2 linked regions of the Diceros bicornis minor genome follow. The protein of the gene in region 2 interacts with the protein of the main gene of each other region in a pairwise test. Links are inferred from orthologs where the notes say so. Each region holds a gene or a part of one and is shown on either strand. Other genes may lie near its edges.

What was found.
Region 1: the proteins of FLACC1 (region 2) and SULT2B1 interact in binary tests that used the Homo sapiens proteins (3 or more experiments, as listed by UniProt). The two-hybrid records come from large-scale screens. The link is inferred for Diceros bicornis minor from reciprocal best matches to the Homo sapiens genes FLACC1 and SULT2B1.

The regions. Positions count from the first base shown.
Region 1 is NC_080773.1:24,215,458-24,232,219, forward strand, and holds the start of SULT2B1 (sulfotransferase 2B1), read left to right. Parts: upstream 1-10,052; 5' UTR 10,053-10,086; coding exon 10,087-10,136; intron 10,137-13,883; coding exon 13,884-14,023; intron 14,024-16,762. UniProt on the Homo sapiens protein: Sulfotransferase that utilizes 3'-phospho-5'-adenylyl sulfate (PAPS) as sulfonate donor to catalyze the sulfate conjugation. Responsible for the sulfation of cholesterol.
Region 2 is NC_080749.1:79,198,110-79,214,077, reverse strand, and holds the start of FLACC1 (flagellum-associated coiled-coil domain-containing protein 1), read left to right. Parts: upstream 1-7,914; coding exon 7,915-8,027; intron 8,028-8,528; coding exon 8,529-8,603; intron 8,604-15,290; coding exon 15,291-15,339; intron 15,340-15,968.

The sequences.
Region 1 (16,762 bases), on a different chromosome or scaffold from region 2:
ACCTGAACCAGCGGAGCACGTGAACTTAACCAGTATGCCACTGGGCCGGCCCACCAAGGAGATTTCAAGGGCAGTAAAATTGGAGATATCAGTTCGGAGTATTGTATCCAGACATTTAAGGAAAGTAGAAGACTTTAGGATCCAGTCCAGATTACAGGTATAACAAAATCTTAAAGACAATTAATAGGACTAGAATTTAATATCTACAAAAGTGAAAACATAATTTCTCTCTTCACAACAAACCCCACTTTTTAAATAAAGATAATCATAGCAAAATTAATTTCTTTGTATTAAACTTGGCCTGATTATTTATATAAATGCAGCAAGAATAGTGATTGACCATATAAGCTTTTTTTAATCTTTTTCTTTTTGCTGAGGAAGATTCTCCCTGAGCTAACGTTTGTGCCAATCTTCTTGTATTTTGTATGTGGGTCGCCACCACAGCATGGCAGCCAGCAGGTGGTGTAGGCCCATGCTCGTGAACCAAACCCAGGCCGCGAAAGCAGAGCGTACCGAACCTAACAACTAGGCCATGGGGCTGGCCCCCATATAAGCTTTTTAAAAGATTGTTTTGCTGAAACCTTGTGAGCAAGGTACTAGGCTGATTTTTCAAGCCATTTCTTAAAGCTGTCTGGTCGTATCTGAGTCTGTGTACATCTTTCTTGAATATAATATTCTAGTCAAAGCCTTGGTAATCCAGCCAATATTTCCAATTGTGTCCTGTTAAAAGGAGAACAGACTTTCACTGAACCCATGCAAATACATACATTGTCATGAAAAGAAGACTTAAGAGTTTCCAAACTCTGGAGGGATCAGGTAGAGAGAAAAAGATAAAAGTTTCAACCATTGTTGCAAAGATACACTTTACCAAATTGCTGTAAGTTGTAGACAGCTTAAGGGAGAGGAGAAAAAGGGGTCCTTTACACCTGGAAAACACAACATTAAAGCAATCATCCTCCACTCGAGTTCCATAAATTCCCACCCAGTTCAGTGTTATGATCTTAAAGCTATCAAAACCTGTATTCCAGAGTACTTGTCAAAGTCTTTTCCATGAATCTCTTTGAAAATGAAACATATTTGTAAAAGCATCAGAGTAAAACAATAACTGTAACTGACAAAAAGATTTTTAAAAAGGCAATGGGTAAATACAATTGACAAGAAAATTTGGGTATTTTTGTGACATATCTTTTAGATAGTAACAGGAATTACAGGTAATAACATTATATTTGCATATCAGAAGTTTAGGAATTTTATACAATCTCTAGAAAACCTTTTAGTAACATTTACCCATATCATATAACCTAAAAAGGTTTATTATTGCTTATTCAACCATGCTTCTGATGTAATTTGACATACCAAATAAACCTAATTAATGTAATGTCTCTGTTTTTTCTAAGGAAAGGGAATAAATTTTTTGAGATGTCCCAGGCGCCCTCTAGAAAATCCAAAGTTACATTCAGGTCGAAAAGACTTCATGTAGAATTTGAATATTTTGAAAGGCTTGTCAAAAATATCAAAAGGTTTGGACACTTGATCAAACAGGATCACAGATCAATATAAAATAATACTTAAGTATCTATTTGACCAAAAGTAACAATAACAGGTTTCAAAGGCAAATACAAAAGGTTACATAGTTGTAAGCAAAACTTAACTCCTTCAATATTAAGAAGGCTCAGTTTTCTTAGGTAATTAAAGAGCCGATAGAAACAACACAGGAAATTATTTTGATAAAACAATAGCCTCTCTTCAGGACAAAATCATTTTCTTTTCCCTTAACAAAATGCATTTCCATTCCGTATACCTTCCTTTACTGAAATACACATCTTACTTTCTTTGCATACAGAGATGTTTCCTTTTTTTATTTCTAGTAGCTTTAGTTACACATATTAGAATTCTTAACCCTTAGAATCCCCCGTTCCTGGTAAAACTATGAAGTAAGCAACTGTGGACTGTATTAGCATTTTGTGGCTTAAACAAAGCCACAACTTAAAAGACCTTTTATAAATTTCTAGAAACATGTACGTTTTTTTCACAGAAAATTGCTGAGCATGGCATAAAACATGTTCACTAGTAGACTCAAATATCTTTAGTTTCTCTGTGATAGGAAGCCAAAAGTAGATAAATTTGTGCTCAGTAATTAACGTTTTAGTATTTTATCTTGTTTGGAAAATGATTTAGAGATTCAATGACTATCCATTTAGTTTAACTTAGCATAAACTTTGATCTTACTTACATTTATTTTAATTACTTGCTTTTAACAATCATGCTTGGATTAGACGTTAAATAGCCAACGATCATCTTAAGTTACTTTCATTCTGACAAATTTGGTAACAGAGACAGCAAGAGCCTACTTGACTAGTAAACCTAGGCAGAGAGAAAAGTTACACATTTGCATTATACCCAATGTTAACAACTCTGATGTGAATGTTTTTTATTTACGCCAACGACCTTAAGCTAGCTTTTATTTACTAAGATATCCTAGATCACATGAACCTGAAAAGCATTTAAGTTAGTTTCTATTATATTTCTGAGATTTAGGAATACTTAATTTATAAGCACTTAATTTCAAGCCAACTAAATAGAGCTTTTCACAAATCAATTCTAGCGAAACCATCCAGAGGTAGAAAAATATCACATCTCTATAACATACATACATAGACACAGAGACAGACATAAACAGAGATCTCATAGCTTTCATTTTAAAACCGTGTCTCAGGTACAAAACTCTAAAGAATAGTTGGATCCAAACTGTATCTCTGGCAGATGGACTAAGTTAAGGTTACTTGTTCAGGTGCCCAAAGTCTTTTACCAAAGATTTTTATTTGCATGTTGTAAAGATCCTTTTAGAGCTGTTTTTGGAGTCATTTGATCTATTATCAAAAGTCTAGGGTAATTGTTATTTAAATTTTTCCTTCTAGTTTATTTGCTCCATTTAACTTAGAAATAGTAATTAAGGGCTTAGCATTTGAACTTTCAGAAGGTCTGATTTCAAAGGGAGCAGGTTTTCGAAGAGGGGAAATGAGGAAGATGGTATCAGGGGCAGAGCCTGGACACAAGAAGGATGCCAGGGCGGAGTCTGAGACAAAGGTTCTGGGAAGACAAAGAAGATGGCACTTGAGACGAAGAAGAAGGGGGAGGGGAACATGAGGCTTCAGAGTCCATTTTGTTCTCCTTCAGTTCTTTCATTGTTTCTGCTAATTTAGACAAGGCACCTTGTAGAGTGGTAATTTTAGAGCTTTGTGCATATTCAGAGGCCTCCAGGTACCAACAAAAATAGACATGCCATTCATTTTGCTTAATTTTAGAGGCTCAGTCTTCCAATTTGGTGTTAAGTAAAGCTAGTTTGGGGAGACTGAAAGTTTCCCAATATGGCCATTGCAATTCTGGACTGCTTTTGGTCGTTTGGCCCACTTAGTTAAAAATGCACGTGTAGGAGGCCCACAGTTCTTAAACATAAACCCGGCCAGGATCCCTGAAGGAGAGTTTCCCTCAGAACATTTAGATGACAGGAATCCCATTTCTGAGATTTCCTCTGAAAACCCATGAAAGTTGCTCAAGTCCTAGTCCTGATCCCCAAAGGAATCTAAAAACAAAGGAAAAGTTTCTGGGTTCCCAGCCCTGATTCCAAAAGGAATCTGGAAAATAAAACAAAACAAAAGAAACCTGGATTTTCAGCAAGCCCAATCCCCGAAAGGAGCTATGCTACCTTCGGAAAACAACCAAGTAGTCTCCAAGGGTGATGCCTTGAACTCAAGGACAGAGCCTTGACTGAGACGACAAAGTCCCTCCCCTGACAGGACCAAGCTTCTCCTGATACCAAATAAAGTCTGAGAGCTCAGAACACAAAGGGGGTGGAGCTCAAAATCCAAGAGAAGACTCACCAACTCACACAAGCGATGAGCACAAGGGGCTGGGTGTGGGTACCTGGCTCAATTCTGTGGGCCGCCATCTCTCTGGGGTTGTCTCCTTTGGATCCCACTTTTCTGACACCATATATGTCAACTTAAAAAGCAAATTCGCCTGTTATTTTATACTCAAAATGAGTTTATTTGGGAATAGCCAAAAAGAATTGCAATTTGGGACGTGCATGCTATGGCAAACCACAGGCAAATCCAGAAAATAAAGGAATGGAGCTGCTTTTATAGAGAAAAAGGGGGAGTAGGGAGGGGCTGTTCTAAACAAGTCCATTGGGGGAAAGTAACAGTTCTGCACAGCAATGGCTTCTCATTGGCTGAGCTGCAGCATTTCTCATTGGCTGAGCTGTGGTGTTTCTCATTGGCTGAGCTACGGCATTTCTTATTGGCTGAGATGCAGTGTTTCTCATTGGCTGAGCTGCAGCATTTCTCATTGGCTGAGCTGTGGCGTTTCTCATTGGCTGAGCTGCAGCATTTCTCATTGGCTGGGCTGTTGCCAGGTGGGGAGAGAAATCTTCCTTCAGTAGTAAAGCAGTTTTATTTCTTGTCCAAGAGGCAAGCATCTGTCTCTTCCTGTTTGGTGTAATTGGCGATGTGTGATAGGGCGTGAGAGCTCCCCCTACAGGCCTTCCCGACTCCAATTTAGCTAAGATTTATTTTATTTATTTCCACAGTTGGAAGAATTATCCAGTGAACACTCTTCTATCCACCACCGCTCAAATTTTATTATATTTGTCTTATCGAATATCTGTGCATTCTTCTACCCACTTATCAATATTTCTTTTTCGTGATGCATTTCAAAGTAAATTGCAGACATCAGAACATTTCACCCTAAACATTCCAGGCTGCATATCATTAAATAGATTTCAATATTCGTTTATGAGTTTTTCTTTTAGTAGATGCAGTTTATGCACAGTATGCTGCACAGATCTAAAGTGCGCCAGTTTTGAGAAATATACGTGTAGCCTAAACTCCTATTGAGACATAAACACCTCCTCTTCAATGACTGGATTCCAGTGTTGGCAGGGCCCTAGTTTATTTATCCAGTTATGATTTAATTTATCCAATTCCGGGTTGTTCAGGTTCCTCTTATCAACTATGTTGCAATTAACATCCTGGTATATATTTCCTCAGGGGCTTCCTCATGGGCACCTATCTATTCCGTAAATTTCTGGGAGTCACGTTCATTTGTGCATCCAACAAATAATAATGGAGTCGCACCTGCGTGGCAGACGCTGGGACATCGTAGAGGGAGCCAATTTCTGCTCCCTCTTAGCTTCCCTACTAGTGGGGAAGATTGACTTAAAGAAGAGGTCAATGGACAAAGAAAATATTACTAAGTATTAAAAGAGCTGTGAAAGAGGCAAACAGGTAGCTGAGATGGGTAATGATGGCATGGAGGGGGTGTCCCCTGCGAGGTGGTCTGTATAATGTCAATACTGCCAAGCCATCTCCCAAAGAGGTTGCCCTCATCACGCTGCCGCTGAGAGCTGGCGAGGGAAAGAGTCTGTTTCTCTGCAGTCTGGCCAAGGCATGAGTCATTCCGCTGAGGTGGAGGTGCCCAGAGATGGGCTCCATGCGGAATTTCAGGAGGTGAGGGAGGGTGCTTCTGTCCGGAGAACAGCCCAGGCAGGCGGGACGGCTGGACACTGCACAGTGTGTTCTGCGGCTGAGGCACGTTGAACACAGCTCAGGCTCTGAGCTTCTTGGCAACGCTCCCCGGAGAAAGTCCAGTTGACCACGGGTGCCCTCTGTGAGTCAGCAGGACAGCCTGCAGCCACATCGGGGTCCTGGAATGGTGGGGCCGCTCACAGGAGGGGGCACCTGTTCCAGCCCCACACAGACCGCAGCCTCCCAGCAGCCTACACTCTCACCCCTTTTGCTCACGCTGTTCCCTCTGGTACCCACACACGGTTCCTTCCCTCACCTCCTTCAGGTCTGCTCAATATCACCTCCTCAGAGGGCCCTCCCCTGACTCCATCCATCTAAAATTGCAATCCCCACCCAGATACCCCCTATCCCCCTCTGCTTCATTTTAGTCCATCACCATCCAGTATACTACACTTAAAACATCATGTGTTAACTTTATGGTTCATTCAAACGTAAACTGCAATCGGGTTTCTTGTCAATTGCACCCACTCCTGTATCCCCCCAGCGCCTGCCATACAGTGGGTGCTCAAGAAATATTTGTGGGGTGAATTAATAAATTTGCTCCATCTCAGGCAAAAAGGCCTAAAGCTCTCAGGAATGGGGAGCTCTCTTTGAACATCAGACTGAGAGGTCCCTGGAAAAAGTCCCATGTCCCGTCCCGTGATCCCCCCCCAACACACACACACACTGCTTATTCTTTTAATGATACCAGAGAGGGCTTGTGAATGGCCTCAGGTCACAGAGCAAATCCAAGGCAGGCCTGTGAGGTAGGCGGGCGTTGCTTCTCTGCACATCCCTGAGTATCCAAGAGGGACACTGGCCCATCGGCGGTTTTGTTATAATAATGCCTGATGGGCATTAAGCATTTACGGGAACAAGGCTCTTTTTTTTTTTAATTGATGTTTTAATGGTTTCTAACATTGTGAAATTTTGGGTTGCGCATTTTTGTTTGTCCATCACCATATACATGACTCCCTTCACCCCTTGTGCCCACCCCCCACCCCCACTGCCCAGGTAACCACAGTCCAGTTTTCTCTGTCCGTGTGTTGGTTTATATTCCGCATATGAGTGAGATCATACAGTGTTTGTCTGTCTCTTTCTGGCTTATTTCACTTAACATAATACGCTCCAGGCCCATCCATGTTGTTGCAAATGGGACGATTTTGTCTTTTTTTTATGGCTGAGTAGTATTCCATTGTATATATTTACCACATCTTCTTAATCCAACCATCAGTTGAGGGACATGTGTTGCTTCCACTTCTTGGCTATGGTGAATAATGCTGCAGTGAACATAGGGGTGCATAAGCCTCTTTGGATTATTGATTTCAGGTGCGTTGGATAGATTCCCAGTAACGAGATGGCTGGGTCATAGGGCATCTCTATTTTTAAGTCTTTGGGGAATCTCCATACCATTTTCCATAGAGGCTGCACCAGTTTGCATTCCCACCAGCTGTGTGTGAGGGTTCCTGCTTCTCCGCATCCTCTCCAACACATGTTGTTTTTTTGTCTTGGTGATTATAGCCATTCTAACGGGTGTGAGGTGATATCTTAGTGTGGTTTTGGTTTGCATTTCCCTGATGATTAGTGATGTTGAGCATCTTTTCATGTGCCTATTGGCCATCTGTATATCTTCTTTGGAGAAGTGTCTGTTCATTTCCTCTGCCCATTTTTTGATCGGGTTGTTTCTTTTTTTGTTGTTCAATTGTGTGAGTTCTTTATATATTATGGAGATCAACCCACAAGGCTCTTTTTAAAAAAAAAATCATAGGATAAAATTAATTTTTTTGTGGGAGTGTATAGTTTTATGAATTTTAACACATGTATAGATTTGTGTAACCATCACCACAACCAGGATACAGAACTGTTCTGTCATCTCTTTGTAGCCACATCCTCCCCCATCGCTAACTACCCTCTCTTCCCACCCCCCACCCCCACCCCCACAACTACGGATCTATTCTCTGTCCATATGGTTTTGTCTTTTCAAAAATGTCGTATTAGTTTCCTGTTGCTGCTGCAACAAATGACCATAAACTGAGTGGCTTAAAGCAATATAAATTTATGCTCATACACTTCTGGAGGTCAAAAGTTTGAAATCAATGTCATTGGGCTAAAATCAAAGAGTCAGCAAGGCTGCGTTCCTCCTGGAGGCTCTCGGGCAGAATCCATTCCTTTCCGTGCCTTTTCCAGCTTCTAGAAGCCGCCTGCATTCCTTGGCTCATCGTGGCCCCTTCCTCCATCTTCAAAGCTGGTGGTGTAGCATCTTCCAATCTCTCCCCTTTCTGACCTCTGCTTCTGTTTTTACACTTTCTCTGACCCTCCTGCCTGCCCCTTATAAAGACCCTTTGATGACATTTAGGGCCCACCCGGATAATCTCTCCATCTCAAAATTATTTCTTTTTTTTTTTTTTTTTTGCGAGGAAGCTTAGCCCTGAGCTAACATACGTTGCCAATCCTCCTCTTTTTGCTGAGGAAGACTGGCCCTGGGCTAACATCCATGCCCATCCTCCTCCACTTTTATATGAGACATTGCCACAGCATGGCTTGACAAGTGGTGCCTCAGTCCGTGCCTGGGATCTGAACCTTTGAACCCCGGACTGCCAAGGCGGAGCGCTCGAACTTAACCACCACACCACAGGGCCGGCCCTCTAAATTCTTAACATAATCACAGCTGTAAAATCCCTTTTACCACCAACGTAACATATTCACAGGTCCGGGGATTAGGACAGTTAGGACGTGGACATCTTTGGGGGCCATTCTTCAGCCCACCACAGTCATACGAATGGAAGTGTATACCTTGTGACTTCCTTTGTCTGGTTTCTTTCACTCAGCTGAAGACTGAGACTCTTTGAGACTCATCCTGTACCTGAACTCAATGGGTTCGCCCCTTGGTGAGTGCGGAGCAGAAAAGCACAACCAAGGCAGAGTGGGTGAAGAAAGGTTTATTCCTTGCACAAGCAATGGGGAACACAGGGGATATCTCCCAGAGCAGTGTCTCCCCCAACAGGGCGTGAGGGGTCCTTTTATGGTTAGATCAGCGTGCAGTTCACGCATATTCAGTTAAGGAAAAGGCAGGAGATCGGGGTTTCCCGCCTCCCAGCCACGGTCTTTTCAGGCGCATGCGTAGTAGGATCTAACACTGGCTGCTCGGCCCCTCCCGGAGGAGGAGGAGGATTTAAGAAGCTAATGAGGGCAGAGCACCTGAGCGCAGTGAGAGCTGATTATAGCAGGAGTCGAGACGCTGTCTTGTGAGCGATCTCTGCGGTTGGGTTCTTCCTGTTTTTCTGGAGCCTTGTCTGAAAAACATCTGACCGTTTCTGCTAGTTGTTAGCCAAATCCTCAGTAACCCTTTTTCTACCTGTTTTCCTGGCTACCTGGAGACAATCTGCATGGTTGTCAGCATCAGTGGCTTGTAGCATCGCACGGGACGCAGGTACCACTATTTATCCGCTCCCCCCGCAGGAGGACACTTGGATTGTTCCTCGTTTTTGGCAATTATGGATAACGCGGCTGTAAACACAGAGCACAGATGTTGGGGCGAACATAAGTTTTCCTTTCTCTTGAGTGAACCCCCAGGAGGGGAGAGACTCTGCTTTAAAATCTGCGCTTATATTAAGCTATTTTGTGGAGGTACCTTAATAGACAATATATAAAATAATACGATATAATAATAATAAGATTCCCCTGGGAGTTAAATATCCATGTCACCAAGAGGATGGAGGTGGAGACTAAGACTCAGAGAGGATATGTGAGTTGCCTGCGGTCAAGTCTATGTCTTCCTGACTACCCCCTTCCCCCACACCCCTGCACAGAATGAGCACACCCAGGGAGAACCACATGAAGGGGCCGGGAGGTCCCACCCCATGGCCCCAGGTGGTTAGGGGCAAAAACTGTGGGGCCACACAGCCTGGCTTCAAAGCTCAGCTCTGTCCTCTGCAGCTGTGTGACATTAGCCAAGTGCCTTCGCCTCTCTGTGCCTGCATTTCCTCCTTTGTAACACGGAGGTAGCACTACCCCCCGCCTCCTAGGGCCCTTGCGGAAATAAGTGAATTAAGGCATACACACAATGTAGTGGGGAATGCAGTGCCAGGGAGCGCGGTCAGCGCGATTTTTCTTTCTCCAACAAATATTGACTGAGGCCGCCTTTGCGTATGCTGGTGTTCTGGATATATCGGCAGTCAAGACAGACTGAAAATAAAAATAAAAATCCCTTGGCTCACGGAGCTCACACGCAAGCAGAGAAGAAAGGCAATAGTCAACATAACATGCAAAGCATAGAGAGACTCAAAAGGTGACAAGTAGGACAGGAAAACAAAGCAGGCTGTGGGGTGGGTGGGTTCACTTATGGACAGGGTGTCAGGGGAGGCCTCAGACCTGCAGGAGGTGAGGGGGCCAATCACAGGCCTGAAAGGAAGACAGAGAACGACCAGTGCCAAGGTCCTGAGGCAGGACTCGGCCCGCCGTGCTGGAGGGACAGCAAGCACACCAGTGCGGCCAGAGCTGATAAAGAAGGAAGAGAGCTGAAATGAAGGCAGAGATGGATCACAGCAGAACTCTGAGGTCCTTCCCGCTACTGCGAGGACTTTGCTTTTTTTGTGTGATACGGGAGGGTTCTGAGCAGAGGAGGGACAGGAAGTGACTCAGGTTCCAACCAGATCTCTCTGGCTGCCGTGTGGGGAGACGGACGGGAGGGGGCAAGGGTGGGAACAGGGAGATCAGTAAGGAGGCGACTGCAATAGTCCAGGCAGCTCTAATCCTTTCCAAGTTCCCTCAAAGGAGGCCTTCCTAGCCTCCTTCTCCAGCTGAGGAAACTGAGGCACAGAGAGGTTAAGCCATGTATTCAAGGTCACACAGCTAGTTGGTAGCAGAGCCTGGGTCCAAATCAAAGTCTGTCCGACTTCAGCCCATCTTCCTTCCCCTCTGCGTGGGCCAGGCTGCCTCTGTAGGTGGTGACTGAGCCCCCACTACCAGGGGATCTGAACTGGGGACATGTTTGTTTAGTGCACACCTGTCGTGTGCCAGGCGCTAGGGATAAAACACTGAATGACACAGACAAATTGTGTCCTAGTGGTAGAGGGAGGGGTGAAGGCTCATTGACAGTTGTTTACCGAGACCTCCTATGAAGACTGCTGTGTGACCTTGGAGACATATATTAACCTCTCTGGGCCTCCATTTCTTCTGACGTGAAGTGGCGCTCTCCATACCCACTTCATGGGGTTCTGGGAGAAGTCTGTGATAATGCGTGTCTTTGGCATAGAATTTCCATAAGGGTGGCTCCCCTGCCCCTCCTCCCCTGCTGGGACCAGAGGGAAGTCAGCCACGATCCTGGAGGTCTGACGAGGCCAGAGGAGCGGGCAGGCCCAGGCTTTGTAGGACCTTGAGTTTCGGGCTGAGGGGCTGCAGCTGTTTGGAGGATGGACAGGAGGGAGACACTGGAGGCCAGGAGATCAGGAAGGAGGCTATGCTGAGGGTCCACGGGGCTGAGCAGGAGACCTGAGCTGGACCAGGGCGGTGGGGACAGACGGGGAGGGCCAGGGCCCTGTGGACTGTGGGGGTGGGAGGCAGGACGGTCGATGTGCTGGGACATTCTTAGAGTCACATGGCCTGGGGTCTCAGGCCAGGCCAGGCCAGGCACCTTCTAGCAGGCTAACCAGGTCCTCGGCCAATTCTCCGTCATGTTGGCCGTAGCTCCGCCAGCTGTCCGTCCTGCTGCAGGCTTCTGATCCAGCTCAGTGGTCATCTTCATTCCTCCGCTCCAATCGAGCGATCGCTGCGGGCCGGGCACCGGACATGGCGTGGGAACAAAACGGGCTTGTGACCCAGGGAGAGGAAAGGTCACCCCGGGGCCAGATTTGAGGTACAATGTGGGGAGAGGAGGCACACAGCATCTGCTTTGGGACACACAGTGACATTCAGCCAAGAGGGAATCCGGGTGCAGGGGGGCCTCCTCGACCTCCACGCTCAAGCACAGAGGAGGGCAGAGGAATGGCATTCCTGGCAAGAGGAACAGCAGATACAAAGGCCCGGAGGTAGGAATAATACTCGGTGCATTTGGGGGCTTTGGCTGGAGTGTGGGTTGCATGGGGAAGGAGGGACTGGGACAGAGACTGTCTACAGGCTGAGGTGCAAATCCCACTCTGCTTGGTACTTGCTGTGTGGCCTTGGCCAAATTGCTTTCCCTCTCTGAACCTCCATTTTCTCATCTGTCGTATTGTAACGTGCAGGGAGATCCCAGCTCTACCCCATTCATGCCTCGATTACTTATTAAATATTGATGCTCATTATTTATTGAGCAACCAGTTGTTCTAGGCTCTGAGGGTGCGGTGGTAAGGCTTGGACACTGTTGGCCTGGAATGAGGCCAGGCTTTGGGAGACTCTAAAGGCCCCAGGGGGGATTCCGGGTTTGGGGATCCTTTATAAAGTCCCTACAGGCGATTCCCAAGTGCCCGGGGCTGAGAACCACTGAGGCGGGTAAAAGGACATAACAAGTGATCTTGGGCTTTCTTTCATTTTTGTCCCTGATAAACCACTTCATTCATTCGTTCACACATTCATTCATTCATTTGCACATCCATTCATTCGTTCGCACATTCATTCAGTCAGTCAGTCAAATACCAGTTGAGAACCAACGATGTCCCCACACTGTGGATTCCACCTTGGCTTCCTAGGATGGGGCTTGGACCCGCGATTTGGAGATTGTAGGTGCTGAGGGAGACGGGGGGGGGGGCACCCTCGTATTTATTCATTCGTGCATTCAAGGACTATTTCAGGGGCTCGTGAAGGGCGCAGGAGCTTCTCCTCGCTGGCGACTCCGTTTTCCTCTCCTGTAAGCTGCGGAGGAGATTTCTCCTTCAAGGAGCTGCTGGTGAGACCGAAGACAGAAATAATGCTGAATGCTAAAGGGAGCCTCCCTGCCCTGAGCATCCGTCAGGAGCCAGGCGCTTAACATATATTATCCCTTTTAAGCCTCAGGTAGGATTAAAATCCTGAGGGAGAGATTGCTGTTATCCTCATGTGACAGATGAGGAAACTGAGGCTCCGTGCGATCCGCTTCCCAGGCCACAGAGAGAGCACGCGTGACCCACGAAGGCGGAGCCAAAGCCCAGGCACTTAGCCGCTAATCTGCCTGGTAACTGATGACCTCACAGCTCCCGCCTACGGAGCTAAATCTGCCTGGCAACCAGTGACATCACTAATCCCACAGCACGTTCAACCAATGGGGTGGCTGATGACATCACAACATTAAGTCATTGCAACTTGCTGAAGGCCTACTGCGCGCCAAACGCGGTGCTAAGGCGCCCCTCCTCTGGGCTCACACAATGCCCAGTGTGGCCTCTACTACTGGGTGTAATAACAATAATTTTAGCTCAGATTTACCAATGCAGACTATGAACCAGACTCTATTTGAGGCATTTTTACATCTCTTGTCCTAAGGGTACTATAAAGGGCCACAGATGGAAAGTAGCTTTCCCATGAAAGCCGGATGAAACGCATCCCCATCTCGACTTCGCCTTAGCCAGGTCCCCAAGATACCCATCCCTCTCCCGCGCCCCGGACAGGTGACCCCAGGGGAGGCGGCGACAGAAAGACAGCGGACTAAACGGATTGCTCTTAAAACATCTCACTTTGGAAAACTTTACGTCAGTGTTTGGTTACATGAACACATTACAGGGGTTTTGGAAAAGAAGCTCGAGCGAGGAGTTTAGACTGTTTTAGCTTCACGGTGACCTCATGTCTGGGTTTCACAGGCGGGCTCTGCTGCTCTGTGGCCGTGTGGGAGTGGGCAGGGCGCCTGACTCTGGCCTGTTTCCTCATTTGTAAAATGGGGTGGTGACTTAGCATCTTCCTCAAGAGGCGGGCAAAGAGTAAACGTATGGAAAGTGGTTTAGCCCCACTTTGCAGATGTGAAGTGCTCCACCAGCTGTGTGGCTTTGGGCAAGTCACTCAACCTCTCTGTGCCTCGCTTTCTTCATCCATAAAGTGGAGATAATAATCATTGTCACCTCATAGGATCGTTGTGGGGTTCTGTAACCATCCCCACTCTGCAGATGAGGAAATGAGGCTCACAGAAAGTTCCTTGCCAGTGCTCCACTAGCAAGTGGGGTGCCCCTGCCCATCTCCTCGCTGGCCCTCCCTCCTGCCCTGAGGTTCCTCACCACTTTCTTCCACCTCGTGTCAAAGCTCTAAAGCTGGACCCCGTGCAGGCTCCTGGGACCTTGGAGGACGCTCAAATGCAGGCCCCTGGCCCCCCACCCTCCCCTGGGTGACCTCTGTCCTCGCCTCCTCCGCGGTCCTCATGGTGTCTCCCTCGCCCTCCCACAGCCAGAATTTGTCAGGCGAATACTTCAGGTACAAGGGCCTCCCCTTCCCCGTGGGCATCTACTCACCCGAGAGCCTCAGCATCGCGGAGAACGCCAACGTGCAGGACGACGACATCTTCATCGTCACCTACCCCAAGTCAGGTACCCGCCGGGCTGGGGGAGGGGCGCCGGGAGAGGGGGCCGGGGACAGAGGACGAAAAGGGCACACTGGGGAGAGTGGGAGGGAAGAGCGGCGGCTCTCCCGGCCCCGGGGAGGCCTCCCCTGACCTCCCTGGAGGAATAGCGTCCCCATCCTGTCCCTCTCTAGCCCCTTAGCTAACCGCATACTTTTCTTCATGCATCACTACCAGCCACTGTATTACATTCTCATGGATTTAGTCTCTGCGTTCCCCACTAGAACAGGAGCCCCATGAGGGCAGATATTTTAGTTTGTCTCGATCACTGCTGTGTTTTTGAGCCTAAAGAAGTGCCTGGCACATAATAAGTATTTAATAAATATTTGTGGAAGGACGGAAGGAAGGAGAGAGGGAGAGAAGGAAGGAAGGAAGGAGGGAGGGAGGGAAGGAAGAAAGAAACAATGAAAGGAAGGAGAGGTGATCTTAATTTTCTCCATTCTGACATTAAAATGCTGCCTACTAATCATCTGCCATGTGTGGAGACACAGCTGTGAACAAGAGAGACATCTGTCAATTTGTTGGGAGAGACTGGCTTTATTTAAACATGCAATCGCCTATATTACTATATAATTAGGGTTGAGGTGGGTCCCCCCAAAGAAAGGTGCAGAGAGCATTGAGTATACGTCACAAGAGGGTCTGGGGGATGAGGACAGCCTTCCTGAGAAGATGTTCGTGCTGAGACCTGAAAGCTGCAGAGACGTTTGAGTAGGAAAGGGTGTCCTAGACAGAGGGACAGCACGTGCAAAGGCCCTGAGGTGGGAGGAGACTCACTGAGTTTGAGGGAGCAAGAGAAGGTCACTGAGGCTGTGGTGGAGGGAGCTATGGGAGAGGCTGAGGGGACACGGCCCGAGGCAGCCTCCCTTGGGAGCCAAGGTGAGGATCTTTGGTGACTTTACTGAAAGTCCCTCGGGGAGGTTTGAGTGAAAGAAGGGATCAATTTCAGCTTTTTCTTCTCTAAAATGATGGGGTTGACTTTTCTTTTTTTGTAATATTTTTGAAATTTTTCAAAATATTACATTACCCTTTTCAGCATAGGGTTGTATGAGGTTTTTTTGGTAACAGTTTCAAGATATAGCTCACATGGCCATACAATTCACCCATTTTAGAGTGTACAATTCAATGGCTGTAGTATGTTCACAGACTTGTGCAACCATCACCAGAATCAATTTTAGAACATTTTCATCACCCCAACAAGAAACCCCACACCCATTAACCATCATCCTCGAATCCTCAGATCCCGGTCCCCAAGCCTCAGGCAACCATTAATCTCTTTTCTGACTCTGTGGATTTGCCTGTTCTGGACGTTTCTTATAAATGGAATCATACAATTCATGGCCTTTTGTGACTGGCTCCTTTCACTCAGCGTGATGTTTTCGAGGTTCATCCACGTTGTAGCTTGTGTCAGTGCTTCATTCCTTTCTGTGGCCGAATAATATTCCACAATGTGAGTGTAGTATATTTTGCTTATTCATTTATCAGTTGATAAACATCTGGGTTGTTTCCACTCTTCGTCTATTATGAATACTACTTCTAGGAACATTAGCAAACACGTCTGTGTGTGGACGTGTTTTCACTTCTCTGAGTTCTTTGAGTGTTGACAGAAATACACAGTCATATAACCACCACTACGATCAAGATATAGAACAGTTCCATCACCCTCAAAAATATCCTTACACATCCTTTTGTAGTCAGCTCCTCTCTTACCCCTAGCCCCTGGCAACCATGGACTTGCTTCCCCTATAGTTTTGCCTTTTCCAGAATGTCACATGAATGGAATCATTCCACACATAGCTTTTGAGGCTGACTTTTCTCACTCAGGACAATGTACTTTAGATTCATCCAAGTCATTGTATTTTTAAGCCCTGAAGAGTCTTCCCTTGTACGGATGGACCACTGTTGGTTTATCCATTCATCCGATGAAGGACATTTGGGTTGTTTCCAGTTCGGGGTGAGTATGAGTACAGATGCTCTGAAGCTTTGCATACAAGTCTATGCATGGGAATATCTTTTCATTTATCTTGGGTAAATACTTAAAAGTGGGATTGCTGAGTCTATGGGAAGTATGTATGCTTAACTTTATGAGCAATGCAAACTGCATTACCATCTTGCATTCCCACCAGCAACATAGATGGGTTCCAGATCTGCTTCCTTGTCAGCACTTGGTATTGTCAGGTTTTTGTAAAGCCACCCTAACAGATGCCTATGAGTATCCACTGTGGTTTGACTTTGCATCTCCCTAACGGCTAACGATGTTAAGCATCTTCTCATGTGCTGATTAGCCATCACGTATCTTCTTGGTAATGCGTCTGTCCAAATCTTTTTTGCCCTTTTTAATTGGGTTGTTTGTTTTCTTATTATTGAGTTTTGAGCATTCTTTATATAATCTGAGTACACATCCTTTATTGGATCTGCCTTTTGCAAATATGTTCTCCCAGTCTGTGACTTGTCTTTTCATTCTCTTTTCAGCATCCTCTCAGAGCAAAACTTATACATTTTGGTGAAGTCTAATTTGTCAATTTGTACTTTCATGGGTCGGACTTTTGATGTCACATCAAAGAATCTTTGCCTCACCCCAGGTCGTAAAGATGTCCTTTATATTTTCTTCTAGAAGTTTTATAGTTTTAGATTTTGCACTTAAATCTATGATCCATTTTAAGATAATTTTTATATCTGGCATGAGGCATAGATCAAGGTTCTTTGCGTT
Region 2 (15,968 bases):
TCTCTATGTGTTTGTTTATTGTTGTTATTATCTACTACTTAATGAAGGAAATCACACGGTATTTGACCGTCTCCCTCTGACTTATTTCACTTTGCATAATACCCTCAATGTCCATCCATGTTGTCACAAATGGCTGGATTTCATCGTTTCTTATGGCTGAGTAGTATTCCATTGCGTATATATACCACATCTTCTTTATCCATTCATCCCTTGATGGGCACTTAGGTTGCTTCCAAGTCTTGGCTATTGTGAATAATGCTGCAATGAACACAGGGGTGCATGTATCTTTATGCATTGGTGTTTTCAAGTTCTTTGGATAAATACCCAGCAGTGGAATAGCTGGATCATGTGGTAGTTCTATCCTTGATTTTTAGAGGAATCTCCACACTGTTTTCCACAGTGGCTGCACCAACTTGCACTCCCACCAGCAGTGTGTGAGAGTTCCCTTCTCTCCGCATCCTCTCCAATACATGCTGTTTCCTGTCTTGTTAATTATAGCCATTCTGACGGGCATGAGGTGATATCTCATTGTAGTTTTGATTTGTGTTTCCCTTATAGTTAATGATTTTGAACATCTTTTGATGTGTCTGTTGGCCACCTGTATATCTTGTTTGGAGAAATGTCTGTTCAGGTCTTTGGCCCATTTTTTAATTGGGTTGGTAGTTTTTTTTGTTGTTGAGATGCATGAGTTCTTTATATATTTTGGAGATTAACCCCTTATCAGATGTATGGTTTGCAAATATCTTCTCCCAATTGTTAGGTTGCCTTTTCGACTTGTTGATGGTTTCCTTTCCTGTGCAGAAGCTTTTTAGTTTGATGTAGTCCCATTTGTTTATTTTTTCTATTGTTTGTCTTGCCCGGTCAGACATGGTGCTTGAAAATATGTTGCTAAGACCGATGTCGAAGAGCATACTGCCTATGTTTTCTTCTAGAAGTTTCATAGTTTCAGGTCTTACATTCAAGTCTTTAATCCATTTGGAGTTAATTTTTGTGTATGGTGTAAGGTAAGGGTCTACTTTCATTTTTTTGCATATGGCTATCCAGTTTTCCCAACACCATTTGTTGAAGAGACTTTCTTTTCTCCATTGTATGTTCTTGGCTCCTTTGTCAAAGATTAGCTGTCCACAGATGTGTGGGTTTATTTCTGGGCTTTTGATTCTATTCCATTGATCTGTGTGTCTGTTTTTGTGCCAGTACCATGCCGTTTTGGTTACTATAGCTTTGTAGTATATTTTGAAATCAGGCAGTGTGATACCTCCAGCTTTGTTCTTTTTTCTCCAGATTGCTTTAGCTATTCGGGGTCTTTTTTTGTTCCATATAAATTTCAGGATTCTTTGTTCTATTTCTGTGAAAAATGTTGTTGGAACTTTGATAGGGATTGCATTGAATCTATAGATTGCTTTAGGAAGTGTGAACATCTTAACTATGTTAATTCTTCCAATCCACGAGCACAGAATATCTTTCCATTTCTTTGTGTCTTCTTCAATTTCTTTCAGCGATGTTTTATAGTTTTCGGTATACAGATCTTTCAACTCTTTGGTTAAGTTTATTCCTAGGTATTTTATTCCTTTTGTTGCAATTGTAAATGGGATTGTATTCTTAATTTCCCTTTCTGCTCATTTGTTGTTAGTGTATAGAAATGCTACTGCTTCCTTTCCCATTTGGATCACTTTTATTTCTTTTTCTTCCCTGATTGCTCTGGCTAGGACTTCCAGTACTATGTTAAATAGGAGTGGTGAGAGTGGGCATCCTTGTCTGGTTCCTGTTCTTAGAGGGATGGCTTTCAGTTTTTCACCGTTGAGGATGATATTAGCTGTGGGTTTGTCATATATGGCCTGTATTATGTTGAGGTACTTTCCTTCTATACCCATTTTATTCAGAGTTTTTATCATAAATGAATGCTGTATCTTGTCAAATGCTTTCTCTGCATCTATTGAGATGATCATGTGATTTTTATTCTTCATTTTATTAATGTGGTGTATTACGTTGATTGATTTGCAAATGTTGAACCATCCCTGCATACCTGGAATAAATCCCACTTGATCGTGGTGTATAATCTTTTTAACGTATTGTTGTATGCGATTTGCTAGTATTTTGTTGAGGATTTTTGCATCGATGTTCATCAGTGATATTGGCCTGTAATTTTCTTTTTTTGTGTTGTCCTTGTCTGGTTTTGGTATCAGGGTAATGTCGACTTTGTAGAATGAGTTAGGGAGCTTCCCCCACTCCTCAAGTTTTTGGAAGAGTTTGAGAAGGATAGGTATTAAGTCTTCTTTGAATGTTTGGTAGAATTCACCAGGGAAGCCATCTGGTCCTGGACTTTTATTTTTGGGGAGCTTTGTGATTACTGTTTCAATCTCCTTACTGGTGATTGGTCTATTCAAATTCTCTACTTCTTCTTGATCCAGTTTTGGAAGGTTGTATGATGCTAAGAATTTATCCATTTCTTCCAGATTGTCGAATTGGTTGGCATATAGTTTTTCATAGTATTCTCTTATAATCTTTTGTATTTCTAAAGTGTCTGTTGTAATTTCTCCTCTTTCATTTCTGATTTTACTTATTTGTGCCTTCTCTCTTTTTTTCTTGGTGAGTCTAGCTAAAGGTTTGTCAATTTTGTTTATCTTTTCCAAGAACCAGCTCTTGGTTTTATTAATTTTTTATACTGTTTTTTTAGTCTCTATTTCATTTATTTCTGCTCTAATTTTTATTATTTCCCTTCTTCTACTGATTTGGGGCTTTGTTTGTTCGTTCTTCTTTTTCCAGTTCCCTTAGGTGCATTGTTAGATTGTTTATTTGAGATTTTTCTTGTTTGTTGAGATAGGCCTGTATTGCTATAAACTTCCCTCTTAGAACCGCTTTTGCTTTATCCCATAAATTCTGGCATGTCGTATTTTCATTTTCATTTGTCTCCAGGTATTTTTTTATTTCTTCTTTGATTTCTTCGTTGACCTAGTCGTTGTTCAGTAGCATTTTGTTTAATCTCCACATATTTGTGGCTTTTCTGATTTTCTTCCTGTAGTTGATTTCCAGTTTCATACCGTTGTGGTCAGAAAAGATGCTTGGTATTATTTCAATCTTCTTAAATTTATGGAGACTTGTTTTGTGGCCTAATATGTGATCAATCCTGGAGAATGTTCCATGTGCATTTGAAAAGAACGTGTATTCTTCAGTTTTTGGATGGAATGCTCTGTATATATCTACTAGATCCATCTGTTCTAGTGTGTCATTTAAGGCCAATGTTTCCTTATTGATCTTCTGTTTGGATGATCTATCCATTGGTGTAAGTGGAGTGTTAAAGTACCCTACTATTATTGTGTTACTGTCTATTTCTCTTTTTATGTCTGTTAATAATTGCTTTATATATTTAGGTGCACCTACTTTGGGTGCGTAGATATTTACAAGTGTTATATCCTCTTGTTGGATTGTTCCCTTGATCATTGTGTAATGCCCCTCTTTGTCTTTTTTACAGTTTTTGTTTTAAAGTCTATTTTGTCTGATATGAGTAGTGCTACCCCAGCATTCTTTTCATTGCCATTTGCATGGAGTATCTTTTTCCATCCCTTCACTTTCAGTTTGTGAGTGTCTTTAGGTCTGAAGTGTGTCTCTTGTATGCAGCATGTATATGGGTCTTGTTGTTTTATCCAATCATCCACCCTATGCCTTTTAATTGGGGCATTTAGTCCATTGACGTTTAAAGTAGCTATTGATAGGTATGTACTTACTGCCATTTTTTAACTTTTTTCTCAGTGTTTTACTAGTCCTTCTCTGTTTCTTTCTCTTTCTGTACAGAATTGATGGTCTCTTTAGTTTGGCTTCTGTCTGAAAGCTCTACTCTTTAACTCCCCTCTTCCCTCATGTTATGTTTTTGATATCATATCTAACCTCTTTTTTGTGCATTTGTATCCATTTCCCTCTTATCATGGAAATAGATAATTTTTCCTATTTGTGGTCTTCTCTTTCCCCCTTAAATCAGTCCCTTTAACATTTCTTGTAACACTGGTTTCTTGGTGACAAACTCCTTTAATTTTTGCTTGTCTGGGAAATTTTTGATCTCTCCTTCCATCTTGAATGATAACCTTGCTGGGTAGAGTATTCTTGGCTGTAAGTTTTTTCCTTTTAGCACTTTAAATATATTGTGCCACTCTCTTGTAGCCTGTAAGGTTTCTGCTGGGAAGTCAGCTGATAGCCTTATGGGGCTTCCTTTGTATGTAACTTGTCTTTCTCTGGCAGCTTTTAGGATTCTCTCTTTATCTTTAATTCTAGACATTTTGATTATGATGTGTCATGGTGTGGGCCTCTTTGGGTTTATCTTGTTTGGGGCTCTCTGTGCTTCCTGTACCTGGATGTCTGCATCCTTCCTTAGGTTAGGGAAGTTTTCATCTATTATTTCTTGAAATAGATTTTCTCCCCCTTTGTCTCGCTCTTCTCCTTCCGGGACACCTATAACACGGATGTTAGTGCACTGGATGTTGTCCCAGAGGTCCCTTAGACTGTCCTCACTCTTTTTAATTCTTTTCTCTTTTACCTATTCAGCTTGGGTAATTTCTTCTAGTCTTTTGTCCAGCTCCCAGATCCGTTCTTCTGTATCCTCTACTCCGCTTTCGAGTCCCTCTAGCGAAATTTTCATTTCCAGTATCGTATTCTTCATTTCTGATTGGTTCTTTTTTATATCTTCCATTTCTTTGTTGACATTCTCACTGAGTTCATCTATTCTTCTCCCCACATCAGTGAGCATCCTTAACACTCTTAGTTTGAACTCTCTGTCAGGTAGGTTTCTCATTTCTGTTTCACTTAGTTGCTTTTCTGGGGTTTTGTCCTGTTCCCTTACTTGGAATGTATTCCTTTGCCTCCTCATTTTGCCTCTTTCCCTGTGCTTGTGTCTACGTATTAGGTAAGTCAGCTACATCTCCTGCTCTTGGATAGGTGACCTTATACAAGTGATGCCTTAGGAGGACTGCAGTGTGCTTCCCTCAGTTCTCAATGCTCCAGGGGTACCCCTATATAGGCTACATGTGTCCTTCTGTTGTGGCCTGTTTGCTCTCCCTGTATGCGCCCAGGGAGGCCGGGTTATGCTCCTGGCCAGCTGTTGTAATGCTCAGCTGTTTGTAGTTGTTGTGGGCCCTTCAGTCTCTTTATCAGGTGTGCAGAGCCCCAGCTCAGTTGGCTGCAAGTTCTAATACCACATTTGTGTTGCAGTATTTCTTTTAAGTGAATAGGCCCCCAGCGTGGCAGGTTGTTAGGCTCAGGGGCTTACAATTGCTGTAAGCCTCCAACCTTTATGTCTCTTGTCAGCTCTCTGAGGATTGCAGCTGGGTGGGGCTGGCCTCAGTCACAGGAGCATCCAATTGTTTCAGACTTTGGAAGATGGGGCAAACTCCCTATGTGGGTCTTTGAGAAGCACAAGTCTTCTGCAGCTGACAAGCCCTGCCACCCACAGGTCCACACACACAGTCAACACAGTCCTGCCCCGTGTGCACGCCCCGACCTCCCAAAGTGGACCCAGTCTCTCCATGGTGGCAGCCCCACACACTCCACCACTGCCCCACACTCTCCACCCACTCCTTGTGCACGCCCTGCCCCACTGAAGTGGGCTCAGTTGCCAGGCTGCAGAGAATCCAATCACCAATCTATGCATGCCCACAAGTTGCCTGAGGGCTTGTTGTTGGGTGGGGCCAGTCTCTAGGTGGGCTACCTGCCCTGGCTGAGCTGGATTAAATCGGTGCTCTAGCTGGTGGGACAGACCTGGGCTAGCAGGCCCCAGGGAGAACTCCAATGGCATCTGTGTCAGCACGCCCACACCGGGCCACAACAATGGCCGCAGCCAATGTCCCAGTCCCTGGAGAGGTCCCATCTCCCACCGAGATGCACTCAGGGCCTATCAGGTGAGTCTCTTTTCACCAAAGCACTATGCACCTTTCTTTCTGGTGATTTTAGGATGCTTTCTGAAACGGGCAAGTTTGCACATGGGCCCTTTAAGAGCTGGTTTTAATGTCTTTGTGAATCAGCTTTTCTGGGGGTGCTCCCCAATGTTTTAGTAGCAGGCAAAGTCAGATATTATGCCAATCGTCTCAGTTGTGCTGGGTCCACAAAATGCCCGCAGCGGGGGCGCTCCCTGGCTCAGCGTCCTCTTCCTCCAGGGAGGCTGCATACCTTTCGGCTGCTCCCGGGCAGCCGTGCGGCTGGCAGCTTGTGAAGGTGGCGTTTTTTCTCTCCTGAAGGGAGTTTCTGTCTCTTCCACCTCAATTAGGATTGTCCTTTGTTGCAGGAGTTCCTCTTATCCAGTTTTCAGTTCTGTCTCAGGGGTAATTTTTCCACGAGTAGTTGTAAACTGGCTGTATCTGCGGGAGGAGGTGAGTTCAGAGTCTGCTTACACCGCCATCTTGACTTCTCCTCTCTATACATACTTTTTAACCTGAAGTAATTATGCAATTTTTATTTTCTTAGGTTTCTATGTTTCTATTGCTAATTTTCCCCCAAATGCTCTGTTTCCTGTTATGAAAACTCTGTAACTAATTACCACAAATTTAGTGGCTTCAAACAACACCAATTTATTATCTCACAGTTCTGAGGTCAGAAGTTGGAAGTGGGTCTCACTGGGCTAAAATCAAGGTGTTGGCAGGACTTCCTTCCTTCTGGAGGCTATAGGGAGAATCATTTCCTTGCCTTTCCCCGCCCCTAGAGGCTGCCCACATTCCTTGGCTCATAGCCCCTTCCTCAATCACTCCTATCTGATCATTTTCTGCTCCAACTCTGACCCTCCCACCTTCCTCTCATAAGAACGCTTGTGATTACCCTGGGCTCACATGGTTAATCCAGGTCATCCCCCCTCTCAAGATCCTTAACTTAGTCACAGCTGCAAAGCTCCTGTTGGCATGTAAGGTAACATACTCACAGGTTCCAGGAATTAGAATGCAGACATGTTTTGAGGGGAAGGGGCATCATTCCACCTACCACGTGCTCCAACAGGTCTGTCAAATGCCTATCAGCATCATCAGATAATCTACCAGTTCCAAGTTCGGAGTCTTTTGGGGTCTTTTGCATGGAATTGGCTCCTTCTGGTTCGTACTCCCTCTGCAGGCATGTAGGCTAAGTGAGGGAGTCATTGTGCCAAACGTGGATTGACATCCCTTGTGCAATGTTGTCGCCGCTCCTGTTCTCTTTGTTCTTATGGAATTAACCCTCTTTTAATCCTGTGCTCTCATTTTAGTGAGGTTCTGCAAAAGAAAGAAGATAAGTGTGATTGAGCCTCCATGTTCATCTGAGAGTTGTCTTTCGTGCAAACCTTCATAATAGAGATTTTTGTTTTTTGTTTTGTTTTTTTGGAGCCAAGAAGGAAGAGGTTTCAACTGTGTAATTCAGGCAGGTGACCAAGAATGAGAAACTAGGAAATTCACTTGCACTGTAGTTTGAGTAAAAGAGCAATTTTCCAGAAAGTTCTGTGCAGGACCTGCTGTAGGGATTTCTCTTCACTTCAGTGAGAGCTAGTGTGACCTGAAGGAAGAGCAAGGGCTTAGGGGCAGGTAGACTTGTGCTTGTTCTCAAAACTCTGCAACTTGCTCCTCCGTGACTGCTCTGAGCCTTAGTGTCCTCATCTATAGAACTGGGATAACAATACTTAATCACTTATTGTATACCTGGCTCACAGTAAGCACTCAACTATGGCAAATTTTAAATTGCTTTCAAATCAAGTCCACTGGATGGTAAGTGGTGAGGTGTCCTTCTATCGTCCAGACCCTGCACCAGATCAACAGCTTCCAGAATCTACCGTCTGTGCTTTGGGCCTCCCCTGGGTCCTTCCCAATTTGTCTCTAAGTTTGTTGCTTTGACTCTGAACGTGTAACTCTCTGCTGTCGTTTTCCTGTTTCAGCAAGGGCCTCCTGACCTAGCAGCCAAGACTGACCCTGCCCTCCTGCCATGTACCCCAACCCTCTCATCTACTGCACCTGCCGGGACCCCTGGAACTCGGGAACACGGAAGCTAATCAAGACCCCTCAGCCACCAAGCAAGCCCTCCCCAGGGAAGCCCAAGTGAGGATTATCTGGGGTGGAGTGGGGCCTGGGGCTTGGGTTCCATTTGCAGCCTTCTTTCTTTCACAAGATTTCCAGACAGTCAGCTTGGCAGAGAAATCCTGAGAGGGCCAGGAAGCCTCACTTTGCCAGCTTTCCTGCTGGCCCGCTGCCTGCACATTGCTATTGCTGGTGCTGCCGAGCTTGGTGTCATGTTAAATGAGGGCATCTCAGGGTTAGTGCTGCAGGGAAAGGCCCATGGCAGCTGCCCCTCCTGTGGGACAAAGAGCTTTGGGAACTGGGGGTTGAGCTGTGCTGCCAACCCGGGGACCCCTTGGGACAGTGAACAAGTGCCAAGGCCTTCTGCCTGAGGTTCCTAAGACCATCCCAATTTTAAAGATTTCAGTTGTCAGACCATATATTCTGATTTGGGGTCACCGTGGGGATGTGCCTCATCTGGGGGTGCTACAACAGGTTTCTGAATTTCCAATTTTTTCTTTTTCATTTATTTTTCACTTTCAGGCTAACTCTTCTTCCTCCAGCTTCAAAAAGACAAAATTATGTCCAACCAACAACAAAACCTGTTGTCACCCCAAAGTAAGTATTTTCATGTCCATGGGGCAGGGATAGTCTGAGGTATGTGAATAAAATAATCTCCCTCCTTGGCCTCCACAGCCTTGCCTGACTTCAACCAATTGCTGCCAGGGGTGTCAGAGAATTGCCAGAATCCACTGTGATTCCCCCCAAACCTCAGGTCCTACCTGTAGACTCGGAGGCCCTCTGCACCCACAGCTTTCAAAGTCACTACCCATGAGCTCTCAACTGGGGTTCCCCAATAGCTGTTTCCTGCCCTAAAAGGCCACAATGCCCAACGCATGTCACAGGCAAAGAGCCCCCCATGTATTTATGGTGATGACTCACCCTTTTACTAATGTGTCTAAGATTTTCTGTAGATTCCAACTCTGTCTTTACTCATAAATTAAAATTTTTACCCGTATTTTATAAGCTTAGACATGTAACTTAGTTTTAGGCCTTTGCACGAATCTATGTATTCCATGTATTTATTTATTGGAAAGTATTTCTTGAGCATCTATCATTTGCTAGGCACTGTTTCAGGTGTGGGAAACAGCAGTGAACACAGCAAAGTCTGCTTTCCTGGGGCTCACAGTGCTATTTTATAAGGAGGTCAGGGCAAGTCCCTGTGTGAAGGGGACAGCAGGACTTGCTGATATCTGGAGCAAGCACTCCTGACAGAGGGAGCAGCCAGAACAAAGGCCCTGATAGGAACTTGCTTGGCATGTCTGCCTTTTTCCAGGAAAGCAAAGAGGCCACTGTGGTGGGAGTGGAGAAGTGGGGCGGGGGGATGAATTCAGAGAAGTAACAGAGATGATGAGTGTGGTCAGCAGAATAATGCCCCCAAAGATGTCCACATCCTATTCCCTGGAGACTGCGACTATGTTCTCTTACTTGCCAAGGGGGAATTAAGATTGCAGATGGAATCATGGTTGCTAATCAGCTGACTTTGAGCTAGACAGATTATCGGGGATTATCCAGGTAGGCCCAAGGTAATCACAAATGTCCTTATACATGACAGAGAAGGAGATGTGACAATAGAAGCAGACGTCAGGGGGAAGTCAAGATGGCAGCGTAAGCAGACTCTGAGCACACCTCCTCCCGCGGACACAGCCAATTTAGAACTATTCATGGAAAAATTACCCCTGAGAGAGAACTGAAAACTGGATAAGAGGAACCCTTGCAACAAAGGACAACCCTAATTGAGGTGGAAGAGGCAGAAACTCCCTTCAGGAGAGAAAAAATGCCACCTTCACAAGCTGCCAGCTGCACGGCCACCCGGGAGCAACACATAGGTCCGCAGCCCTCCCTGGAGGAGTGGGGCCCTGAGCCGGGGAGCGCCCCCACTGTGGGCATTTTGTGGACCCAGCACAATCGAGACAAGTGGCATAATATCTGATTTTGCCTGCCAGTAAAACATTGGGGAATACCCCCAGAAAAGCTGGTTCACAAAGAAATTAAAACCAGCTCTTAAAGGGCCCACGCACAAACTCACCCATTTCAGAAAGCAACCGAAAATCACCAGAAAGAAAGGTGCATAGTGCTTTGGTGAAAAGAGACTCACCTGATAGGCCCTGAGTGCATCTCGGTGAGAGGTGAGACCTCTCCAGGGACTGAGACATTGGCTGCGGCCATTGTTGTGGCCTGGTGTGGGTGTGCTGACAAGGACGCCATTGGAGTTCTCCCTGGGGCCTGCTAGCCCAGGTCTGCCCCACCCACCAGAGCACCAATTTAATCCAGCTCAGCCAGGGCAGGCAGCCCACCCTACAGACTGGCCCCACCCAACAACAAGCCCTCAGGCAACTTGTGGGCATGCATAGATTGGTGACTGGATTCTCTGCAGCCTGGCAACTGAGCCCACTTCAGTGGGGCAGGGCGTGCGCAAGAAGCGGGTGGAGAGTGTGGGGCAGTGGTGGAGTGTGTGGGGCTGCTGCCGTGGAGAGACTGGGTCCACTTTGGGAGGTCGGGGCGTGCACACGGGGCAGGACTGTGTTGACTGTGTGTGTGGACCTGTGGGCGGCAGGGTTTGTCAGCTGCAGAAGACTTGTGCTTCTCGAAGACCCACATAGTGGGTTTGCCTCACCTTCCAAAGCCTGAAACAATTGGATGCTCCGGTGCCTGAGGCCAGCCCCGCCCAGCTGCAATCCTCAGAGAGCTGACAAGAGACATAAAGGCTGGAGGCTTACAGCAATTGTAAGCCCCTGAGCCTAGCAACCTGCCACGCTGGGGGCCTACTCACTTAAAAGAAATACTGCAACACAAATGTGGTATTAGAACTTGCAGCCAACTGAGCTGGGGCTCCGCACACCTGATAAAGAGACTGAGGGGCCCACAACAACTACAAACAGCTGAGCATTACAACAGCTGACCAGGAGCATAACTCGGCCTACCTGGGCACATACAGGGAGAGCAAACAGGCCACAACAGAAGGACACACATAGGGCACATAGGGGTCACCCCTGGAACATTGAGAACTGAGGGAGCACACTGCAGGCCTCATAAGGCATCATTTGTATAAGGTCACCTATCCAAGAGCAGGAGATGTAGCTGACCTACCTAATACGTAGACACAAGCACAGGGAAAGAGGCAAAATGAGGAGGCAAAGGAATATATTCCAAGTAAGGGAACAGGACAAAACTCCAGAAAAGGAGCTAAGTGAAACAGAAATGAGCAACCTACTTGACAGAGAGTTCAAACTAAGAGTGTTAAGGATGCTCACTGATGTGGGGAGAATAGATGAACTCAGTGAGAATGTCAACAAAGAAATGGAAGATATGAAAAAGAACCAATCAGAAATGAAGAATACGATACTGGAAATGAAAAATTCACTAGAGGGACTCAAAAGCAGAGTAGAGGATACAGAAGTGTGCTGTGCTTCTGCACAGCAAAGGAAACCATCAACAAGTCAAAAAGACAACCTAACAACTGGGAGAAGATATTTGCAAACCATACTTCTGATAAGGGGTTAATCTCCAAAATATATAAAGAACTCATGCATATCAACAACAAAAAAAGTAACAACCCAATTAAAAAATGGGCCAAAGACCTGAACAGACATTTCTCCAAACAAGATATACAGGTGGCCAACAGACACATCAAAAGATGTTCAAAATCATTAACTATCAGGGAAATGCAAATCAAAACTATGATGAGATATCACCTCACGCCCGTCAGAATGGCTATAATTAACAAGAGAGGAAACAACATGTGTTGGAGAGGATGTGGAGAGAAGGGAACTCGTACACACTGCTGGTGGGAGTGCAAACTGGTGCAGCCACTATGGAAAACAGTGTGGAGATTCCTGAAAAAATCAAGGATAGAACTACCATATGATCCAGCTATTCCACTGTTGGGTATTTATCCAGAGAACTTGAAAACACCAATTTGTAAAGGTACATGCACCCCTGTGTTCATTGCAGCGTTATTCACAATAGCCAAGACTTGGAAGCAACCTAAGTGCCCATCAAGGGACCAATGGATAAAGAAGATGTGGTATATATACACAATGGAATACTACTCAGCCATAAGAAATGATGAAGTCCAGCCATTTGTGACAACATGGATGGACATTGAGGGTATTATGCAAAGTGAAATAAGTCAGAGGGAGAAGGTCAAATACCGTATGATTTCCTTCATTAAGTAGTAGATAATAACAACAATAAACAAACACATAGGAACAGAGATTGGATTGGTGGTTACCAGAGGGGAAGGGGGGAGGGAGGAGGGCGAAAGGGATAATTCGGCACATGTGTGTGCTGATGGGTTGTAATTGGTATTTGAGTGGTGAACATGATGTAATCTATGCAGAAATAGAAGTATAATGATGTACACCTGAAATTTATACAAGGTTATAAACCAATGTTACTGCAATAAACAAAAAATTTAAAAAAAAAGCAGCAGCAGCAGAGGTCAGAGTGATGCAATTGTTGGCTTTGAAGATGGAGGAAAAGGCCACTAGGAACAGGGGCAGCTTCCGGAGCTGGAAAAGGCAAGGAAGCATATTCTTCCAGGAAGAACACAGCCCTAGCAACAGTGAGCCCCATTTCAGACTTTGACCTCCAGAACTGTGAGATAGTAAGTTGGTGTTGTTTTAAGCCACCAAGCTTGTAGTAATTTGTTACAGCAGCAACAGGAAACTCATACAGTAAGGTTTGCTGGCCACCATAAGGACTGTGACTTTTACACTGAAAGGGGTGGTGTATTAGCTTCTGGGGCCACCATAACAAAAAAACACAGACTGGGTGGCTTAAGCAACAGAAATATATTTTCTCACAGTTTGGAGGCTGGATCCAAGACTAAGGTGCCGGCAGGGTTGGTTTCCCCTCAGGACTCTCTCCTTGGCTTGCAGATGGCCACCCACTTGCTGCCTTTTCACTTGTGCATGCGCATCCCTGGGGTGGGGGGGGGGGTCTCTGCGTGTCCTAGTCTCTCTTATAAGGACACCAGTAAAACTGGATTAGGGCCCATCCTAATGGCCTCATTTTAATTTAATCACCTCTTCAAAGGCCCAATCTCCAAATGCAGTCGCATTCTGAGACACCAGAGGTTGGGGCTTCAACATATGAATTTTGGGGGGGACACTACTTAGCCCATAACATATGGGAAGCCATCAGAGGATTCTGAGAGAAGTGACATGACCCAACTTGCATTTCGAAGGGACTGATCTGGCTACTGCATTGACAAAGTGTCACAATTTGGTCTGTGTAATTGGAGTAATCTGAGTAGGTTGACATGGACAAAAAGAGTAAAGGAGAGTCATTCTGAATCGACCTTATCTGGAAGTAAAGTAAAACTTGTCAGTGAGAGAAACACAGTTATACGACACAATGAGCACCCACGAAGCTCCTCTCTGACCCCTCCAGCGGTTCTGAAGTGAATGGGGAAGGTCTCTGTTTGCTCGAGGAGGTTTGCTGAGAGCAAAAAAATACATAAGCTCAAATCCATTGTTAGCTTTTTAAAGAGACCCAGGCCACCCAGTGGTTCCCCACCCTCACCCCCACCCAAGGCTTTCCTGAATTCGGAGAAAGCAAACCAAATCACCATTGAGGAGAGTTTCAGGTTTATGAATGGGAGCATGTGGTTGATATGAGTTGAGCTGCATTTTAAATGGTTGAAAGTCCTCTTGTAAATTACATGTGGGTGGCCGGCCCCGTGGCTTAGCAGTTGAGTGCACACGCTCCGCTACTGGCGGCCTGGGTTCGGATCCCGGGCGCACACCGACTCACCGCTTCTCCAGCCATGCTGAGGCCGCGTCCCACATACAGCAACTAGAAGGATGTGCAACTATGACATACAACTGTCTACTGGGGCTTTGAGGGGAAAAAAAAAAGGAGGAGGATTGGCAATAGATGTTAGCTCAGAGCCGGTCTTCTTCAGCAAAAAGAGGAGGATTAGCACGGACGTTAGCTCAGGGCTGATCGTCCTCACAAAAAAATAAATAAATAAATAAATTACATGTGGGCCCCATTGTATTATCCGTGTGTATTGTGCATTCATGCCATTTTTTTTTTTTTGTGAGGAAGATCGGCCCTGAGCTAACATCTGCCAATCCTCCTCTTTTTGCTGAGGAAGACTGGCCCTGGGCTAACATCTGTGCCCATCTTCCTCCACTTTATATGGGACGCTGCCACAGCATGGCTTGACAAGCGTCATGCCGTTTTTTAACACAGAGAATAATTTTTTTTGCCTGTTAAAGTTAAAATCAAAGGTTGATGGTCGCATCTAAGGTAGCCAAATCATTGGCCTGGTTTTCTGAGGCGATCCCTCAGTGCCTCTGTGGAGGCCCCCTCTGGGGGTGGGAGATGTGGGATCGAGACCAGACTGGTAGTTATTAACCGAGGTGGAGCTGCTTCCACCAGGGAAACCCCACGCCCCACAGGCAGAGTTACCCACAGACTCTGGAGCAGTCCCAGCATGGTAACCAACTCCACAACCCCTAGTGATATGGTCGTTTGCATCATGGGGAAAATGGAACTTCTAGAGCGGGTTTTGGGTGTCTATCTTCATAGCAGTCCCCTGATGGTATGAGTCCATGTGTGAGCGTATGTTGAGACAGAGAGGAGAGGGCCTAATGTCATACACCAAGGCCTAACCATTCTTGTCAGCACATCAGACGCTAGTTACTCTTGTTCCAATCATTCAACCTTCCAGGTGAGCTCCCTTAAAGACACTCTTGATATTTGGGACTCGATATTATGCTCACGTTTCTATATCTGAAAACAAAAATTAATTATGATCTCGGAATAGTAACACTTTGCTTATCCCGAATTCACTTAACTGACAATTTCAAGGTCCCAGAACCCGAGTTTCTGGTGCAAATAAGAAAGGCTGTTGTGCTGACAGCATAGATGTCACTAAACAACGTGTGCCTTACAGACTATGCGCCATGCTCATGGGACGGGCCTCTGGACCTTCTCTCCTAGCCTCTTGGCTCTTGTTGTTGGAACGGTTCTACTATTAGACCAGCGACTCGTCGCCTTCCCATGTTTTTACTACCTGCCATTTTATCGCAACCTGTAAACTGACGATCCCTGGACCATTAAACATTCCCTATTTCCAGAAATTGAATATTTTGAGGGCTGAAAGAGACCTCAGAGATCATCCCGGTAATGTCACTTTTTACAAATAAGCGATCGGATCGTGGTGCAGCTCCTAAGCTTTGAACTTCTCTTCATTCTCTGGTTGTTTCTGAGCAGGCCTTTCTCTTGCAGAGTGAAAATCCACTTAGGAAAACAAGAGGAGAGCAATAAATTACCTTATGTGAGTAAAAATGGGAAGAGGGCAGTGGGGCTAACATTTATTGAGCTCCTACTGTGTGCAGGCACGGGCCTTTTACACGTCCTTCCCTCATTGAATCTTTGCAATGGTCCTGTGAGGAGGGGCGGTAATGACTGCGTATAACATGTGCTGGAGTGTTCAGGGCCTGAATCCGCTCAGTCAGACCCTGAGAGGGCATTTAGTCTCTACTCTCTCTGCCTTGTGTGGGTAAGGAGAGGCGGCCAGTGTGCAGCTCGTGCCCAGATGCAAGAAACCATCTGCCGCGCTTGGAAAACCACAAACGCTAGGGAAGGGACCATCAGGGCACCAGGGGCAGCAGGGACGGGAGCTGCTGGAGAGATGGGGACACACCCAGAAGGACCTCACATCTGCCCAGGAGTTTGGGCCTAATCCTTCTGGTATCTGGGGGCGTTGGTGGGTCTGACACGGGCACAGGATCAGGTGAGACTTACATTCTAGGAAAAACACCCTCTAGTGGGATATTGTTGGTGCTTTTTACTACTTTCTGCTTTTATCTGTTTTCCTTTTTTTCTCCTTAAACAAGGATCATGCAGTCTCTTTTTTTTTTTTTTTTTTTGGTGAGGAAGATCAGCCCTGAGCTAACATCCATG